Oryzias latipes: one gene and its partners. The protein of the gene in region 1 interacts with the protein of each later gene in a pairwise test. Links are inferred from orthologs where the notes say so. Each region holds a gene or a part of one and is shown in the gene's direction. Other genes may lie near its edges.

Region 1 (3,500 bases):
ACATCAGTGTTTTTTGGCAAATGTCCACTTTCTGCCTTGGCAGAAAAATCACAAGGAAACTGAAAATGTAAGAAAACTGGTCTGTGTTCATGATGTACCAATCCCTCTGGATAATAGTTTAATAGTTTTAACATGGCTCTAACAAATGTTTTTGTTTAATTTTAGTGAAAAAAATTAGCCTTAATTCTGTTCCTTTTTTTATTGCTAATATTGAAACTTTGCTTAATTGTTTCAATAGTGCTTGAAGTTTGAGCTAGAATTTGTCCTTCAATACAGACATTGATCTTTCTAACGGAAGCAGCTGATTTCCACAGACTTGAACTCTGGAATCTCTGGCTGTTAATAACACAAACCTCAAAAGAGAACATAATAGTGTTTGTTTGTGTGCATTGGGCCTTATGATGGTTAGCAGTAGGAGATGTTGTCGCATTAACCCAATGAGTCACTGGTGATGTGGTCCGAGAACGGCAGCGCTGATGCAGGACAGACTCCTGTCTAAGCATTGTTAGAGTTTTACATGATCTGACAGCAGATCCTGTGGGAAGCTACGCCGCCAAACACGACCTTCTGTTGGAACTGATGGACTTTATGAGCCATGTCAGCACAAGGAAGATGTTCACCGCGTGTCTTTGGTTGGATTGACATGTATGATTAAGACTCCAACAATAATTGGCTGAGACATTTTAAGGGGTTGAACTTTTTCCAAAATGAGAGCAGTTGGCAGTCATTCCCAGCTACTGTGTCAGTCCTACTCCTGTTTGGCTGAACGCGGCTCATCTCCTCCTAAGTGTTAGTTACACCAATGATGCAAAATGGACGACAGCACACTTGACCATCTGTCACAGCTCACGGGGTTAAAAAAAGCACTGGTTTAAGCTGCACTGGTGGTGCAGTGGTCAGCGCTCTTGTCTCACAGCAAGAATGTTCCTGGTTCAAGTCCCGGCTGGGGGATCTGAACCAGAACATCAAAGGAGGGCGTTTCTGTGTGGAGTTGGCATGTTCTCCCCGTGCATGCGTGGGTTTTCTCCAGGGACTCCAGCTTCAAAGGTTCATTGGTTACTCTAAATTGTCCCTAGGTGTGCATGTGTGTGTGCATGTGTGTGTGATTGAAGACCTGTCCAGGGTGTCCCCTGCCTTCACCCACAAGTGGCCAGGATAGACTCCAGCAGCCCCGTGAACCCGAAAGGGACAAAACGGAAGAAGATGAATGAATGATGGTCAAGATGCCAAACGGTCTTCCTAGAAACCTGCATGACCCTTTATTGTGTGTGTGTGTGTGTTGTCCAAACAGGGGTCTAAAGCTTTATTGTCGTTTGTATCGTCCAGATTAGAGCACTGTCTATGCCTATGAATCAAGTGGACCTGGAAGCCCTGACCTTCCACCAGGACCTCGCTCTTCATGCTCACCAACCCTTCCAGCAAGCTTACAACAAGCAGCCCCAGGACAGGGCTTTTCGGAATAGGTTTGATTTTGCTCTTTCTATCTAAACTAGTACTGGACAATGGTTAACGTGTGAAAGTGTGATTAATGGCAGGAGTTTTCATGATGAGTTGTTTGTGCCTGCAAAGGTTTATGCATTGAAACGGATTCTTTTGAGGAATTTTAATTTCAAACTAAGAGCTGCATATCCAGAAGAAAATGCAGGGTTGAACAGTGTATTGCTGAATGAAAATGAAACTTAAAGGGTAATAATTGGCAAAAAACTTTTTTTTTAAATGCCAGAGCCGGGTATCGAACCAGCGAGCTTCTGCACCAAGGATTCCCCATTTATTTCAATAGAGGCAGAAATCCTGGAATATCTGGAAAAGTTCAAGGATTTGAAGGACCAAAAGTCACAGCTGGAAAAATCTGAACGAGCTGAACATTTGAAAGGTTGAAATAAATGAAAAATTGTAGAAGTTAAGCAGCAAAAAATGGAGGAAGATACTAGAATAAAGAAAAACAGGAAAACAGTGATTGAATGATTTATAGTATTCAACCAATAATTGGCCAAAAAGAAAGTGATCAAAGTGGACCATAAATAAAGTGAATTTTCTTTAAAATAAAACGGTTGCAATGAAATAGAAATGATGTAATCGTTTTTCTATTTGTTCGTGTATCTTAAGTCACATGGTCATCGCAGTATTGATCACTAATAATTTACATCACAGGTTTTGCTCATATCCTGCAGTCCTGGTGTATTTTATTACTCCATTGTTGGCAGCTTGCGTGCCTCAATCATTTATTTATTGTCAGTGTTTTAACATTGATCCAATTCCCTGAAATGTGGCACAAATGTACAAACCTGAAAGTGGAGCACATGACTTGTTTGGTTTTTGGGTTTGGCTGACTTTGGTTGTTTGTGATGGGCAGACCACAGCGTGTGAACCATTCCCCTGGACCTCAGCCTCCTGCTGGAAGAAACTCTCCTGGAAATGCCGTCACTAGCATGGTGAGGATGAACCTTGCTGTTGGGGTCAATGTGGTGTCCTGTTTATTAAATGCCTTGCTCTGTTGCTCTTTGGCAGTTGTCTCCATCATTTACACCCACTTCTGTAATTCGCAAAATGTATGCAACCAAGGAGAAAACCAGAGATGACGCATCCCTTCCTTCTGATGCAAAGGAGACAACTGCACCCTCACAAGATGGTCAGTTCTATTAAAGTCTCATATTTCGCACGTTTTTTTCTGATTAATTGATCAAACCTAATAAAAATTATGTTTTCCAGGCAGCAGAAGCTCTCCTAATCCTTTCCTGGAAACGTTGGATGAAAGCGTTGCATCATCAGCAGGGATGAAGGCCGCCTCACAGCCTCTGCAAAACAAAGGCCAAGAGTGTCTCAGGCCTAGTCCAAGTGGCCACCATACAGTAAACATGGTTCCCCCAGGGCCCCCTTCATCTTTCCCTCGTCCGGTCTACCCAGTGCCACTGCTGTCCCATGTCCCCATGGTACGGCCGCCTCCTCAGCTCCACCCCAATGTGGTCCAGCGAATGCTGGAACAGGGGATCCAGCCCCAGCAGCTGGGACCTGCACTTCTGCAAGCAGGTTTGTATGTGTGCGGTTTGTAAGGCACTATTACCGTTGTTGTACATCTAGTTTTTGCCTGATTTGATCACTAGATTTTTTGCAATATCTTAGCCCAACTTCAAGGCTTGCCACCTGCACTTCTTGGACAGCCACTGTACCCTGTGAGCGCCGCAGGGCATCCGCTTCTACCTCCCAGAGCCAACACTCAAATGCAGCTGGCAGTAATGCCCCCACAGCTTCAATCCCAGAGACCAAGTGAGTTCAGTGCCACAGTTCCAGTTCAAACGTATTCAGAGGTTTTCTGAAACCGTTTTTCTCCCGCTTTGTCTTTTCAGTACATCCAAGCATCCCAGTGTCACATGGCCACAGGCCTCAATGGACAAACGGCGTTCAGCGACACCGGGGCAGCTCCCCTCTTGGTCTTGCTAAATGGTTCGGCTCGGACGTCCTCGACCAACCGCTGCCTTCCATGCCGGCCAAAGTCATCAGTG
Region 2 (4,216 bases), on another chromosome or scaffold:
AGGTCTGTTTTACAGCACACAGGGCAGCTGGAAGAGACTGTGACACTCTGAGCTTCACGCTCACTACCCTCCAGTATTGAAATGTGAACTTTAACAGAGGGGCATTTTTTTTTACCAAAGTGCGCTCGACAATAAGACAGTGTAAGACAATCTTTTCACAGTAGATGTTGCCTTGAGCTCTATAAAAACCAAAAGATGAACACCTTATGCAATATATTTTATTATATTTAATGTTTCATTGATGTTGTGTATTTTTCTTCTCAAGTAAGGTTTTATTATGAGATATTTTTATACTTTGCAAAGGTTGTCTGGCGCCTCAGGGATGCAATCCTAGTGTTTCTGTGTTTGGCTCTTCCTTAGAAAAAGGGGGAGTTGACTGAAATCACATTGTCAGCATTTATAGACAAGAATAGGAGATATAATGTAAAGCACCTCAAAGAGGTTCCCTTTTTATAGTTTAATCCTATTTTTGATAAAGTAATTCAAAGCGGAGAGGCTTTTCTACCCTTTAAGTCGAGTTTATGATTACAACAGTCTTTTTTGATCAACTATAGGACATTTATTTATTAATTGGAATCTCAAATGTATGTAATCTATTTGTGTTCCCTTTAAAGTACTGTCTCTATGCTGATGTGGAGCTTGTGTCAAAACCAGAATGCTTCTGTCGAGTTTAGCACCTGCTATCTACTCTGGCATAAATGTAAATTAATAGAGAACTGCCTGTTTTTACTATAAAAATGCATTTTCAGGTCATCACTTTTCAAGCAATGTCTAAAAGTGGCCTTTATTTAATATGCAGGACGTTGCTTGTGTTTGTCACTGCCATCTGAAGGAAACAACACTACAAAAACGGTAAAACGGCACCAAAATCATGCTATTTGCTGGAGAGATGTGTACATTCTTTTCCAATTTCAAGCAGATATTTTAACACATTAATATTATTTTCCTTATAGAGATTATTCAAATAACCACCTCACCAGAGATGTCTAAAAGGTTTAGTTTGAATATAATGTGTCAGTGATTTTTACCACATGACCAAAATGGATTATGCGCTTGAAATAAACTTCAAAAGGAAAATGTGTTCCAGTGAAAGAAATGAAAAGAGAGTTTGTGTCTTTAATTTCCAAGGTGTAAATGTGAAAAAACAAAAACTGTCTGGACTTTTTAGCTTCGCTCGCCCCCTGGTGGTGCTATTAGGAACTTGACGTTAGTAGTTTAACAAATTAAATAATTTTTTTTTTTTACCGTATTTCCAGATAAAAAATAAACATTTATGAATATGTAATTTACATATTACACAAAAGAAAGATATACAATCTGTAAAGATGAGATGTATTAATTGCTTTCCAAAAGATGCTTGCAAAGTTACGTTTTTTTTGTCAAACTTTATTTAAAACAAACTGCTGCTACGTCACAAGTGCTAACACTAGACGTCGTTACCATAGATACCGTCAAAGCTTCAGTCGCGCGTCCTTCCCTGTAGTTTAACGCCCCAACAAACTGTTTATTTGCGTCGTTAAAAACGACGATTGTGAACTTTTTCTTTCCTGACTAGAGAGTTACGAAGAAATCCCGACCAGAAATGTCTTCTCCGTGGAATAACTATGGTTTGCCATTCCTGCCCGGATATTCATTCCCGGATTACACAGTAAGAGCCGTCATGGTGGATTTAAAAAGGATATAAATTTCCAAAAAAAAAAATTCTCATTTAAAATAGTTTTTTTTTTTTCTTGAAAAGTATCAATAGATCACTAAAAATGTGATTTGCAGATTTGCTTATGTTGGGAAAGAAGTATCTCTATTTTACTAACCGTCATGTTTTCAATTGTTTTTTTTTTATCCTTCTCAATAAATTATTGGGTTACTTGAATTAATTACTTGAATCAAATTAAACTTAACAAGGAAAAGTATATGTATTTATAAGAAAGGATATGAGGCAAGAATGTCAAGGGTTCAGTACTGTTCAGATTCCATCCTTCAGCATTTCTAAGACCCTTCCTCAAAGTGACAAGGTCAAGCAGCAGACATTGAGGAAAAACAAGAGACTGGCAGAGGGCAAAAACAACTCCCCAAAGACCTGGATGGCCGACTACTTATTCAAATGTCACTCAGCAACAGCAGGGAGGCATCAAGAGAGCTATAAAAATAATGGAAATGGTTGCTGGAGCGAGGAGAATTACTCAAAGGCGGCTATTAGGAGCAGTGTTTGAAGCAGATTGGAAAACTGGTGGAGAAGCCGAGATGCATTAAAGCTTGGATTATCAAAGGTTAAATTCATCCAATGTTTTTGTGAACATTTGTTTAATTATTTTTGTTGTGTTTTTAAAGTTAAATAAGCCTATTTCTTTCTAATTAAGGTATGAAAACTCTGCACATTCTAGTTATTTCTGCCAATTGTTATTTTATGTACACAAATGTTTAAATAGAGGAAAAAAGAAGCTTTTCAATTTAACAGAAATAATGTCAGCAGTTTATAAAACAAAACAATATTTTGTAAGTATAAAAAAATCCCTAGAAACCTAATATTTTCAATAGTTTTCTGTTTTTATTTTTATTCAGAGCTTGCATTTATTTCTCTTCAACTTGTTGTTTCATGATTTGCGGTCGCAGAAATCCGCCTTTCATCGACCCCAGACTCTGGACTACAAGAATGGCTATCCTCTGGCTCAGCGCCTCTCCATGGGGATCGGCCAGGAACTTCATTTGTCCGAACAGCTCAGCACAACAGCCCAGCATCTCAGTGATCTTTCCTTTGGGATGCCAGGAGAAGATCCGTATGGCGCTTCTGACCGGAAAGTCTATGAGCCTTTTAAGCCAGTTTATGTGGCTCTGGACAAGAAGGTGTGAACTCAAATTGATAAAAGCATTAATTATTTCCAAATAATTCCCCACATGGTCTATCACCGGCCTGCTTTTTTTTAAGGTGCTGTGCTTCAAGGCATTCTTTAAAGAGGAATTCTTGAATTCCTCTGAAGAATACCGTGTGTGTCCAGTGGTCATCTATTATCACCTGGAGGACGACACTATGACCATTGTGGAGCCCAAAGAGGAAAACTCCGGGTTCGAACACGGAAAGAGGCTCAAACGGCAGAAAATACCAAAGAATGACCACGGAGAGTATTACCTGTGGAAAGACCTCAACATTGGTATGGATCTGAAGGTGTATGGCTTCACATACCACATCACACAGTGTGATGACTTTACAAAGGTACACTACTCTTCTGATTAAGACTTCTTCTCCTTTTGTGTGTCCAGCCATTTTCATTTGTAGATTTCTGTTTCTTTTCCTGCTTGCTTTTCTTCTCTCATTCACACAGGAGTTTATGGAAAGTGAAGGGATCATTTTGAACGAACCAGAGCCAACACCGGAAGATCCTTATATCAAAAAACGCAAAGGCTCACCACAGCCTCACACTCAGCCTTCCACAACTGACAAGCTGCACCAGTTTCTCACCATGGATGGAAAGGTAGAGAATATCCATATTATCTGCTCAGATGTTGCATTGCAATAACAATGACACTTAGAATAACTATAAATAACTTAAAAATGTACTTTTACCCAGTAAGAAAGGAGAAACACTGTTCCATATAATTAGTATTTTTGTTTTCATATTCTTACATTTTCTAGTAGAAAAAAACAGATTTTTAAAAATGTATACTCTCCACATACACTCTCAGTTTAAAGTTAGAAATAAAAACTATTAACCACCAGTCCTGTTCTCGTCTTGTTGTCTATTTTAGGTGCTCAGTTTCTCTGCTCTGGGGGAGGATGTGAACCGTCAGTACACTTTGCCGGTTACCATCCACTATTTCCTCGTTGACGATACTGTGGAGATCAGAGAGGTGGTCTACAAAGGCAGAAGACAGAACCATTTCCCTGTTGTGATGCGCAGAGTGAAAATACCCAAAAAAATGAAATCAGGTAAAGACGTTTTTCCACCATTATATTTCAATCGCCTCACAGAAATGCTCAAACTGATTATAAATGGAACCCGTCACTTGGACAGGACTTCTGTAGTTGTGTTCTTGTTGCAGAAACGTTCCCCACCTGTGTGATGGAGATCTCTCACCTAGATGTAGATGAGTACTACTCCCCCAAAGACTTTCAGCTAGGCCAAACGGTTACACTACTCGCCCGTTCCTTCTTGCTGTGCGACTGTGACGACTTCACCAAAAAGTATTACAAGGAGAACCACCCAGACATGGAAATGAAACC
Region 3 (4,223 bases), on another chromosome or scaffold:
AGAAAAACTCCAGAGATCCATTCAGGAGGTTGGTCTTTTGATTTGTTTTTATTTAAAGTTAATTTCTGCATCTTTATTGCTGCTATTAATTATTGGTAGTTTTACACAATTTTTAAAACCGATCTACAACTTAGAAGAAAGCATATATGTATTTATACATCATGTAACGGTTATTTTACACAAGCTGCTTGTGTTTTGGATTTTTATAGCCGTCAGAAGATGGCAGCACTGAATAATCCCTTTCTTTCGTTTCTGTTTGAATGGCAGGTCTCTCGCATCTCTGTGATGCAAAGCTAGCTGTGCCAATGGGATGCAGCTCCAGTGAGATCAGATCGCCTCCCTGTGCCTCTTGGCCAGCGATGAAACAACCCAGTCCCGTCACCCAGCCTCGCCACAAAAGCCATGACGTCAGTGTTGGTGCATATATGTATTATGAGTGACTGAGAAGGGAGTCGGAAACACTGCTGACACTCTGCATTTCTGCGCAACAAGGCACTTGTCAGCGATTCTGAAAAGTTTGTTGGTGGGATGGGCTGCTAATGAAGTATGACGGGACCGGCTGGTGTAAACAAACAGCCACTACTGAAGAAGGCCGCCTCTGCTCTTTCTCATTCACTCAGTGCAGCGCCTGCCGGCACAAAACAAAGAGTCCTCTCATGAAGGTCCTCACAGAAACCCAGAGGGCAAGGGGTGAGGGGATGGTCTGGAACAGGAGAGCCAACCGAGCCACACCACGCCATAGCATGCCATACTATCCATAAGCTTTCTGTGCATCCTTCGCCTCGTGTGCTTTTAAAACTCAGACTTCTGTTATAGTCCCATAGCAGAAACCAACACCAATGTCAAGCTGACCCAAAGACACATAGTCTCCAGCTCCTATCCTGTTTCCCAGACTAGGTCCACAGCTCCGCTTGGAGCTGAACAGAGCCAGCGTTTGAAGATGCCGAGAGAACGAGTGACAAGCGAAGGGATGAAAAGGGGAGTGCGGCACATCAGAGAGAGGCAGATCATCTGATGAAGCCGCCAGTTCTCTCTATTGAGGCTGAGCATGTGCAGTGATGTGTGCCTTATGGTAGCCATGTCTGAGTTTCTGCTCAGTCACTGGGGCTGAAAGTGATCAACTGATCAAAATGGTACTATGTTATGTTTGTTTTTTTGTTGTCCGTTTTGTATTTATGATGCATGTTATTAGGTACGGTGCAATAAATAAATGTTAAAACACAAGTTGGATCATTTTACCCTCATGGGGCTTGGGTTAATTCTATCACATACATTTGAATAGAGACCCTGTGAATGTTTGAAGAGAGGTGCCACTGTCACCCTTGACCCCTTCAGCTCATCACCGCGACCAACATACCGCATGCGCGCCCACGTGCTTCTATTGCGCGTCGCCGTTCCTGCGATTTCCAGGAGGCTGTGATCGGATTCCTGACGAGTCTCAGCCAGGACAGAATGAACAACAAATTCGATGCGTGAGTAGCAGCTCTTTTGCGTTAGAACTTCGATCGAAAACGGTTCACTGTCTGGAAACGGGGAATCAAGAATCATGCGTTACGCATTCAACGAAAGGTGTGTCCATTTTATCAGCACGATGCAGTGATAGATCTGTTATTAACCCGCATATCAGCGAAAGTCATACCGGTGTGTACTTTAACTGCATATGGAACAGCAGCATTACATTTATGGGCGTTTATGTTGAGTAGTGTAGCCAGGCTGCTAGCAATAGCTTAGCAAAACGGAAGACGGGTAGGCCTCGAATCCCCGGTGTAGTGGTAGGGCAGAGGCCCGGAGAGGGTGTGTGCAGTCACGGTGTAAACTGTGAACGGGAAGACGGATCAAACGGTGATTTAAAGCAAATGTAGTGTTAGCATATTTACGCTGGTGTATTTGTGTGCATAAATTGATGCCGTTTTTCTGTTAAAATATCCAACATTAAATACAAAGTGAAGAACATTCCAGTTAATCGGCTAGTTTAGCCAACAGCAACCCGGTAATGACTGCATGCTTAAACGAATGGACTTTTTGTTTTTCCTGTTTTTATCCTTTAAGCAGCTTTTATTTTTCATGATGGACTCGAGTTTGGTTTATATCATCATTGTTAGTCATTTAAACACATTGCACCTTTTTAGATTTTCCAGCGAATTAGGGAAGTGAAGATCATTGGATGGATCGTTTTTGAATTTAACTAACTTTTCGTTTCCAGTCTGAAAGACGATGACAGTGGAGATCACGACCAGGACCAAAGCTCACCGAAAGATAGCGAAACGATAAAGATTGAGGACGACGAAAAGGAGCAGAACACAACTAAGAAAAAAGTGAGTTAGGAGATTTCAGTGTTTGCATGATAGAGCGGCCTGAATTCCTGAAGGCACCTACTAGAGCTTCCTCGTTTCTTTTGCAGATGGTGGTTCCAGGAGCAGGAGAGCATCCTCTTCAGTACAACTACACTTTCTGGTACTCCAGGCGCACGCCAGGGCGACCAGCAAGCACCCAGAGCTACGAACAGAACATTAAACAGATCGGCAGCTTTGCCTCGGTTTGTCATCTCTGTGACGCTCTTCACATCTGAGCCAAATGATGCCATTGCTCACTGGCTGTGCTGCAGCAAACTATCACAACCATGAACGCTCTGATCTTTTTCAGGTGGAACAGTTCTGGCGTTTCTATAGTCACATGATCCGGCCTGGCGACCTAACCGGTCACAGTGACTTCCACCTGTTTAAAGAAGGAATTAAGCCCATGTGGGAGGTGTGTACACTTGCTACACGTTTTAATGACCTTTTTAAGGAATGTGTTTGGATACTTTAGTGATGTTTTTGCTTTGAAACTCTGATTAGGATGATGCCAATAAAATGGGCGGGAAGTGGATTATTCGCTTAAGAAAAGGCCTTGCGTCCCGGTGCTGGGAGAACCTGATCCTGGCCATGCTGGGGGAGCAGTTCATGGTGGGAGAGGAAATATGTGGAGCTGTGGTGTCCGTCCGTTTTCAGGTAAAAACTCACACCAGCGAGGCCTAATGCTCTACAACAGCATTTGTACAACAGTGACAGTAAATAAGTGTTTACAGGGCGTAGTTATCTTCTTTTTGTGTTGTTGTTGTTTTTGTTCCACAAAGACAATAATTACTGTAATTGAGTTTTAAATGCTTTTAGTGAAAATGCCTTACCTGCAGTGTTTACATTCTTTTGACTACTGTAACGCAATTAACGTAAATCAGCTGATTCTGTGACGGAGAAAAGCAGCTTTCCGCCATTTTGGAACCCTTTACGTTAGTAACAGCTCCAGTGCCAAAGGGTTAACTATCCAGGCCTCAGATGTGCCATTTTTATTTCTTTCTTTCAGGAGGACATCATTTCCATTTGGAATAAAACCGCCAGTGACCAGGGTACCACCGCCCGCATTAGAGACACCCTGCGCCGAGTCCTCAACCTGCCCCCCAACACAATCATGGAGTACAAGACACACACAGACAGCATTAAGTATGTATGTCTCCTCAGTTTACTATTTTCTCTCCATCTTTTGCTTTAAAAAAAAAAGTCATATTTTGTGATTTGATAAACCTTTTTCACCAGGAACCTGTTGAGAGTGAAATTGTGCACATCAGTTATAGTTTTAATGCTTAGAATAAATTTCTTTAAATCGTGGTGTGATGTCTTGCTGTCATAGAACCATCCTCCTCCCTTAACCCCTCTACACTGAATGTATTTCCAGCTTTTAAAAAAAATCCTAATTTTTTGCCTTCAAATAGATGCTAAATTTAGGTAATTTTGGAGCCAAAGTGGTTTGATGCATCGTTCTCTCAATAGGCATCAAGGGGAATTAGGGCTGCACTATTTAAGGAAAACTCGCAATATTAGTGATCAATATTCTGATTATAATGTAACTAGCGATACATGAACAAATAGCAAAACAACCAATAACACAATATCCTTTTCATTGCAAAAGTTTAATTTAAATAAGAGTCAACATACCTGAAATTAAACTCCAAATGACCCTCGTCTACTTAGGAGGTGAGCCTCTAACATGAAAGGGGTCCATCCGGTTGGTCAACAACGTGAAGGGTTCAATCCGATTGGTCAAATGCATAAAATGATCTATTTGATTGGTTAAATACTTCAAGCTGCCATAAGATTGTTTTAGCACATTTAAGGTAACCATTTTTCGCTATTTTTGCCGTCTTTTGCGATATGATTATTGCACAGCTTGATACTGCGGTAACGTGG

Evidence for each region.
Region 2: the proteins of eif4enif1 (region 1) and efhc1 interact in binary tests that used the Homo sapiens proteins (3 or more experiments, as listed by UniProt). The two-hybrid records come from large-scale screens. The link is inferred for Oryzias latipes from reciprocal best matches to the Homo sapiens genes EIF4ENIF1 and EFHC1.
Region 3: the proteins of eif4enif1 (region 1) and eif4e2 interact in binary tests that used the Homo sapiens proteins (3 or more experiments, as listed by UniProt). The two-hybrid records come from large-scale screens. The link is inferred for Oryzias latipes from reciprocal best matches to the Homo sapiens genes EIF4ENIF1 and EIF4E2.

What each region holds. Positions count from the first base shown.
Region 1 is NC_019863.2:605,618-609,117, reverse strand, and holds part of eif4enif1 (eukaryotic translation initiation factor 4E transporter), read left to right. Parts: intron 1-1,326; coding exon 1,327-1,463; intron 1,464-2,353; coding exon 2,354-2,432; intron 2,433-2,508; coding exon 2,509-2,629; intron 2,630-2,709; coding exon 2,710-3,027; intron 3,028-3,120; coding exon 3,121-3,264; intron 3,265-3,344; coding exon 3,345-3,500. UniProt on the Homo sapiens protein: EIF4E-binding protein that regulates translation and stability of mRNAs in processing bodies (P-bodies). Plays a key role in P-bodies to coordinate the storage of translationally inactive mRNAs in the cytoplasm and prevent their degradation.
Region 2 is NC_019882.2:6,991,350-6,995,565, reverse strand, and holds the start of efhc1 (EF-hand domain-containing protein 1), read left to right. Parts: upstream 1-1,416; 5' UTR 1,417-1,582; coding exon 1,583-1,648; intron 1,649-1,997; exon of another isoform or gene 1,998-2,267; intron 2,268-2,589; coding exon 2,590-2,841; intron 2,842-2,923; coding exon 2,924-3,208; intron 3,209-3,317; coding exon 3,318-3,467; intron 3,468-3,741; coding exon 3,742-3,922; intron 3,923-4,035; coding exon 4,036-4,216. UniProt on the Homo sapiens protein: Microtubule inner protein (MIP) part of the dynein-decorated doublet microtubules (DMTs) in cilia axoneme, which is required for motile cilia beating.
Region 3 is NC_019875.2:23,172,750-23,176,972, forward strand, and holds the start of eif4e2 (eukaryotic translation initiation factor 4E type 2), read left to right. Parts: upstream 1-1,423; 5' UTR 1,424-1,452; coding exon of another isoform or gene 1,453-1,472; 5' UTR 1,473-1,546; coding exon 1,547-1,569; intron 1,570-1,726; exon of another isoform or gene 1,727-1,842; intron 1,843-2,203; coding exon 2,204-2,315; intron 2,316-2,401; coding exon 2,402-2,536; intron 2,537-2,643; coding exon 2,644-2,748; intron 2,749-2,837; coding exon 2,838-2,990; intron 2,991-3,342; coding exon 3,343-3,479; coding exon of another isoform or gene 3,480-3,483; intron 3,484-4,223. Other genes in the region: capn10 (calpain-10), read left to right, coding at 1-28, 268-297. UniProt on the Homo sapiens protein: Recognizes and binds the 7-methylguanosine-containing mRNA cap during an early step in the initiation. Acts as a repressor of translation initiation.